2 linked regions of the Oryzias latipes genome follow. The protein of the gene in region 2 purifies or fractionates together with the protein of the main gene of each other region. This does not show direct contact. Links are inferred from orthologs where the notes say so. Each region holds a gene or a part of one and is shown on either strand. Other genes may lie near its edges.

What was found. The genes of interacting proteins can lie anywhere in the genome.
Region 1: the proteins of plekhj1 (region 2) and ocrl purify together in Homo sapiens (co-immunoprecipitation; 3 studies listed by BioGRID and IntAct, counting the BioPlex papers as one, with this or other methods). This does not show direct contact. The link is inferred for Oryzias latipes from reciprocal best matches to the Homo sapiens genes PLEKHJ1 and OCRL.

Annotation. Positions count from the first base shown.
Region 1 is NC_019868.2:9,856,288-9,859,944, reverse strand, and holds part of ocrl (inositol polyphosphate 5-phosphatase OCRL-1), read right to left. Parts: coding exon 3,633-3,657; intron 3,146-3,632; coding exon 3,010-3,145; intron 507-3,009; coding exon 396-506; intron 229-395; coding exon 63-228; intron 1-62. UniProt on the Homo sapiens protein: Catalyzes the hydrolysis of the 5-position phosphate of phosphatidylinositol 4,5-bisphosphate (PtdIns(4,5)P2) and phosphatidylinositol-3,4,5-bisphosphate (PtdIns(3,4,5)P3), with the greatest catalytic activity towards PtdIns(4,5)P2.
Region 2 is NC_019875.2:22,629,014-22,632,770, forward strand, and holds the start of plekhj1 (pleckstrin homology domain-containing family J member 1), read left to right. Parts: upstream 1-1,010; 5' UTR 1,011-1,443; coding exon 1,444-1,537; intron 1,538-1,712; coding exon 1,713-1,780; intron 1,781-1,887; coding exon 1,888-1,954; intron 1,955-2,386; coding exon 2,387-2,477; intron 2,478-3,757. Other genes in the region: sf3a2 (splicing factor 3A subunit 2), read right to left, coding at 1-37.

The DNA of each region.
Region 1 (3,657 bases), on a different chromosome or scaffold from region 2:
AGGTGACACATTTAGAAACGGTCTCTTGGTGAAGCATTTTGTTGAAGGTCGTGGGAACATACTTGGCTCTAAGAATCCATCGCTGGGCTCAGCGCGCAGCCAGGACTTGCAGTACTGCGACTGATTGCATTTGGGGATGAAGGCAAAATGGCAGGGAACCTGACCGTCATTGGTGATTAGAAAACGTTCCCTCTGAAGCTGTCTGAACTTTACATCAATGAAGAAAAACTAGAGAGCAAAGAAAAGAAGCAAAGGTAATCAGAGCTTTAAAACCTTAAAAATGTGATTGTTTTTATGTGTGGGAATCTTGAAATATTACACATTTATACACGCATAGTTAAAACATGACTTAGTATTACTTTTTTGAGAACACGAGTATCTTTCTGCATTTTTACCTCAGTCTTGCTTAAGGACACAGATGGAAGGAAGTCGTTTTCCATTCTATCTATCTGTCGAACCGTTTCCTCAAACACCTTTTTAAAACGCTGGTCATCACCGACTTTTACCTGCAACAAAAACAGGAACAAAATATTTGTTTTTACAAAGTGTGTTGTTTTGCAACTTCTCCAGATCTATTGTGATGGTAAAACGATAATTCAGGCCAACCACTACTTTCAGTTCATGACATGTGAACGTCAGGACAAATTGATCACGTTTCTGACCGCTAGATTCTAAAAAAGCAGGAACTGACAGCAGGTAGAGTCACAACAATGATGTAGCCTCAGGCTGAGGCCTTTTTCCACTACTTTCTGTGGTGCCGGCTGTTGCTGGTCAGGACACGGGAGGGACAAAAGTTCTCTTGAGAAGGCAGAGAATGCAGACAGTGGACAAAGTGTATTCTAGGGTGAGAACAAACCCACAAGCCAATTAATCATCACAACGTGAATCAGTCGCTCTCTGTAAGACACAATGGACTCAGCAAACCGGACTTGCCCATGTTTCCACTATAGTAAGACAATAAGGGTTACAGATGAGGTGTTCTTTAGCCAGATCCCTGTCCAAGCCTCCAGTTATTGTTTGATCAAACTCCACTTGTTGGATGCATCTATTTTACTTTCCACGTGGGTTCATTCTTACACTCACGTTTAACAGTCCACCTAGCTCTCATCCACATGAAAAAGGCATTTTAATACATGTTCTACCTTTGTTCGGATTAAAATCACTTATGAAGTGTTTTTGTAACCAAATAAATTGGTTTGAAAGGAAATTTGAGAATAAAAAGACATACAGTGGGGCAAAACAGTATTTAGTCAGCCACCTATTGTGCAAGTTCTACCACTTAAAAAGATGAGAGACGCCTGTAACTTTCATCATAGGTATACCTCAACTATGAGAGACAAAATCTGAAAAAGAAATCCAGAAAATCACAGTCTTAAAGATTTTATTTGTAAATTAAGGTGGAAACTAAGAATTTATTCACCTACAAACAAGCAGGATTTCTGGCTCTCACAGACCTGTAACTTCTTCTGTAGAGGATCCTCTGTTCAGTATTACCTATATTTATGGCTCCTGTTTGAACTGGTCATCTAAATAAAAGACATCTGTCCACAACCTCAAACTGTCACACTCCAAACTCCACTAGGACCAAGACCAAGGAGCTGTCTAAGGACACCAGAAACCAAATTGTTGACCTGCACCAGGCTGGGAAACCTGTTTCTGCAATAGGTAAGCAGCTTGGTGTAAAGAAATCAACTGTGGAAGGAAATGGAAGACGCACAAGATCACTGATTATCTCTCTCCATCTAGGGCTCCCTGCAAGATCTCATCCCGAGGGGTCACAATGATCACAAGAACGGAGAGCGAAAACCCCATAACCACACGGATGACCTAGTGAATGACCTGCAGAGAGCTGGGACTAAAGTAACAAAGGCTACCATCAGTAACACACTACACCACCAGGGAATCAAATCCTGCAGTGCCAGACGTGTCCCCCTGCTATAGACAGTACATGTGTAGGCCCGTCTAAAGTTTACTAAAAAGCATTTGGATGATCCAGAATAGGATTGGGAGAATGTCCTATGGTCAGATGAATCCAAAAACCTCCTTCCATCAGCAAGGGTATTGAAGATGAAACATGTCAGAGTCTTTCATCATGACAATGATCCCAAACGCACTGCCCTGGCAACAAAGGAGTGGCTTCTTAAGAAGCGTTTCAAGGTCTTGGAGTGGCCTAGCCAGTCTCCAGATCTCAACCCCATAGAAAATCTTTGGAGAAAGTTGAAAGTCTGTGTTGCCCAGCAACAGCCCCAAAACAACTCTGCTCTAGAGGAGATCTGCATGGAGGAATGGGCCAAAATACCAGCAACAGTTTGGGAAAACCTTACAGACTTACAGAAAACATTCGACTGCTGTCATTGCCAACAAAGCGTAAATAAAGTACTGAGTTGAACTCATGTAATTGACCAAATACTTATTTTCCACGATAATTTACAAATGAAATCAGACAATATGATTTTCTGGATTTTTTTTCTCATTTTGTCTCTCATTGTTGAGGTATACCTATGATGAAAATGACAGGCCTTTCTAATCTTTCCTCATCTTTGATCTCATCTTCTCTCAACTTGCACAATTGGTAGCTGACGAAAAAAAATTTCCCCACATAGACTCCAATCATGAACTAATGAAGTGAAAAAAAATGAAAGAATCATTTTGGTAGTCATACCAAGTTCTGATTATAAGGCTAGAAAAATATGGCCAAAATAATTGTTTGACATTCATTCTCAATTGTATCATTTTATGTATAAAACAATGTCTAAGTTTAGTAGATGGTGGATTTTGTCTTATTGTTTTTGTAGCAGCTTGAGAAAATTAATGTCATTATTTCTACAGTACAGGACTGAACTGACAATAAAACCCACCTTACCTAATTTATGCTACAAACAAACCTGCATTTAAAGTCTTTCTATTCTAGTATGTTAAATGCTACTTTCAGAGTTAAAGATCTATTTAATCTATGTATAATTTGAACCCGCTGTCTGTTGTTTCCTCTTCAACAGCATTAAATCTTACCCCGATGCTGAAGATGGAACTGACAGGTTTATGATCGCTGGTTTTTAGTTCCATATGACTTCGGTATTCGATCAGCTCCACTTTGTTGCCCCTCCACAGGATTCTGTCACACCAAGCGGGGACTCGGTTTTTGGAGCTGTAGGAAACAGATAAAACAAAACAGTTTGAGGGAAAGGCCGGCAGCACTGCTGACTCTTTCTGATTACAACAATACGGCTACAGAAATGGTATCTGACAAGAACAACAAAGACCTGCAACTTAAACAAAACTACAAAGAGAATGATTATGAATGACTGATGTCAGGATTTAGATAAGTGTGAAAATCAGGTTTTATTGTTTGCTAAATTGAATCATTTTCAGCCAAATGGCAAAAGCATAAACCATAATAGAACATCTAAAAAAATATAATTGAGACTCCACTAAACTTTAAAAATAACTCACATTTTCCATCACTTGACCAAACATAACATTTCCTCCTGTTTTAGTAAACTGAATAACAACCATAGGAATTAAAAGATTAGCTCATGACCAATAAAAAAATACTGTATAAAGCTAAAAATAGGACAAACTTTGTTAGAATTTTACGTCAAAAACAAGTTAAATACAATCCCACTGATATTCACCTTGAATCCCAAAAGTCTGTTTTGG
Region 2 (3,757 bases):
TGCCGGTCTTCCCTCCGGCTCGATGCTGGAAATCCATCTCTGTGAGGTGGACTCAGTCACAAGGTAAGAAAACAGGAATCCTGTTGATCTCTTCTTATCTGGATAGAAAACATGTTTTTGTCAACTCATGATTAATACTACAAGTAAGCATTCTATTGCTTTGTTAACGCAAGTCAAAAGACAGAAATTGAATTTGCGAAAAGGGTTATTACTTCTTGAGCTCAAACTTTTTCTCCACAAAAAAAAAACAACTTTATATAAAAAATTGACAATCAATACATAGCATCTCAACTGACTGAATAAAAAAGGGGCCAAATGAAGAAAGTAATAAATAAAATAAATTAATGGGGGGGGGGGCAATTGCAGAGCATAGTTAAGGTTTCACAAACTTAAACGGGGAGAAAATAGCATCACGAATTATTTAAATCTTATTTTTGAAACTATTTAAGGCCTTAAAAAATATTACTTGAGCACACATCTGTAGCCAACAAAACGTCCTCGAGTCGACCAATTGTAATTGAGTATTTTTGTGGGTGCAAGAGAAACCCATAAACAACGCAGCAATGTCAAATAATATTCATAAATGAAAAAAAAAATCCGTAATAGTTTCATCATTTTAACAACCCAGTTTTAACTCGTCACCGAATAAGCATGTAGCAATTAAATAGCATTACTAGCTAGCTAAAGACAACATTGTGAAAATGCTAAGCTAACCGGTAGCGACTTATAAAGAGCATCTAAAGCTCAACAAATCAAATTTTAGCGGAAAACAAAGAAAAAACGTATAAAATGATCAATGTTTAGCTTTGCGAGTAACTATATATTCAGCATAAATTATAAACAACGTTTCAAACAATCCGCTAAACACACTTACCAGTTTGCTAACGAGGGCACTACGCAAGCGTTTGTTCGCACTGAGCATGCGCCAAATCATTTCCCGAGTTTGTCAACCGTTAAAAAATGATGCCCCCATCTGGACTGGAGCGGGTGTTTGCCCTTGTATTTACTTATTTTTTTCCCCTCTTTAAAACTCAGAATCATAACGGAACGATCGTTAAAATGTTGAATTGTTACTAACTTCAAGTGATTTGTTAAATATAGACTTTAAAACATTTTTGACCCTCGTTTGTTCCTGTACTCGTTGATCCCCGTGTATGGGAGTGTCGGTGCAGAGAGAGAAAGCAGCCGATGCGTCCGTTTGTAAAGAAGGAGAAGTGTTACAATTGACCGCAGAAATGACCAGTTATTCCTCGACACTTTTCGAATACATTAGATAGCGAGCCGACTAATTCCACGACAAACTGTCGCTTAACACGTCGTAAAGTTGTTACGCAACTCAACGATGTTTTTAGTCAGGAAAGCGGAGCAGTAACAGACTGAAGTCCACCCCGCCCGCCTGCCTGCCTGTCCGGGTTGAATGTACCTGCTTCCACCGGGACTGGGATGCGTTTTAACGAAAAGGAGATGGTCTCTTTGAGCCGCCAGCCTTCGGAGATGGCAGCCGAATTAGGAATGCGGGGACCCAAAAAAGGAGACGGTAACGCCGGAGCGCTGATATTTATCAGTGACGCAAATGAATAGTTCCTACTTTGTATTTATTATAGGCCTCAATCTCTGACCGAATTATTTAAAAAGATGGATTATAATTACATATTCTCTTTTAGCGATGGACATAGCATAACTGATAATATTATTATTATTATTGGATGCAGTTGTCAAGAGGAGACTAGTAAAACTCGTCGTTAACTTCCTGTTTTACTTTCGGATAGATGAAGAGGAGGTGAGAGATGATTTCTTATTTCACCACATTTTTAAGTGTTTTGTATTATTTATATATACTTTTTTTTAAGTTGAGGTTCCAGTTTTTTGCTTTTTTATTTTTTTTAGCCAATTGGAGCTTTGCTGTTGGAGCAGTGTCGAGTGGAGAAGGAGGACAAACAGACTTTCTCCATTGGTGAGTGAGTCACTATTACTTGCAATACTTTCACTCCAACAAAACAGTTACTGCTTTGCTAAGTAGGGTTGTCTAATATAATTTCTTTAAATTTTCAGTACAAATTCAATTTTTTTTAATCACATTTTTAATGTTACAATACACAAGGACATTAATTATTTCTTTTTATTCGGTTTATACATATAATCTATCTTGGAAAATCTGGTTTTGGAATGTACATTTTAAAGGTAAATTTGTATGATATTAAATCATTAAGTTATGAATCAATTCAATTCAGTATTTTGAAAGAGAAACACAAGCTTGCGGTTCAGTGAATGAGACCATAAATATTGTCTGACTTTTTTTTCTTTCTCTAAAATATACAGCTGAATTAATGTTTATAACATTTATTTTAATTGCAGTATATGCTTCTGATATTTTCTCTGCTGACAGCGTTTCTAGATGAAGCAGAGAGGAAATATGTGTTTGAATGTGACTCTGAAGACCAATGTAAGGAATGGATAGATGCTATTATCAAAGCCAGGTACGTTTTTTTAATCACTTTTATTAACAAACACATTGCCATTTTTTATGGAGTTATGAAACATAATTTGTAATAATGTAATTCAGCGGGAAAAAACAAAAATAGTTTCATTTATAAATACATCTTTTTTAAAGCCTCTGCTTAGTGTGTTGATCCAGTTTTTATCTTAAAGGAGTACAAATCACAGTCAATCTTGAGAAAAATAAAAGTGCAATAATACCATTTATCTGTGGTACTTGGAGTTTCCAGTAAACAGTGAATTGTCCTCATTTGAAAGACCTGCTGATGTGGTGCTGCTTTTCGCCTCTTATCTTCCAAATTACGTCCTCCAACAATACGGTCACAGGAAGTCACGTGTGGCCAAGATAAAAAACAAAACAAAAGCATCTTTACAACTTTGCAAATTTTATCTGACCAATTTGCAAGCTATTACTAGCAGCTCATATAGGTTTAGTTATAGTAACAGTAGCTGTTCAAGCTTAAAGTTTAAGTTAATTTACAGTATTAGCTCTGTTTTTATTAGTCTGGAGTTTGTTTGACCCATTTGGATAAATCCAGATAGTTAGTCCAATCAAACCACATTTCACATAAAAAAAACCACAGAGAACTTGAGAATGCCATGCTTAGTCTGCATTTTTTTTTGTAGTCTTTTTGCATGTATTCTTTAAAAAGTGCTACCAATGATGCAATTTTAAAGCAACAAACTCAAATAAACAAATATTCGCTCCATGACAATATCACAAACTATTTTAGTTTCATTGCAACTGAACTTCATGTTTGTTTTAGTTGTTATGCAGAATAGTGAGTAAGGTATGGCAGCATAAATGACCTTTCCCCTAAATAACCATAAAACTGATTTATTCAAGGCAATATTTTCTTTTCAGAAGTACAGCGGTCTAAGTAAAATTGGATAGAAGATGGATAATTTTTAGAAAGATAGGACTATGTGTCATTGATATTGGTTCTAAAAAAAAGAATTCATGCTTTTTTAATGTAACATATCAAAAACAAAGTTGCAAACAGTTCTTTCAAGCAATTTAGGACCATGAAGAATTTTTGGCATGAAATTGTTCACCAGGTTGTAGAAACATTAAATCCAAGAAAATGACATTTGTGTAAAGTCTAAAAGAAGAAGATATAAAAAATGAATGCCTCAAAATGGTAAAACAGATACGTTAAATGTGCTTTGAAATAATTCTTCTAGTACGATTCTTGGTGTGAAGCAGCAACATTTTCTCAGTGTTGACATTTACCATTTAGGATGAAGACAGCATTGATTT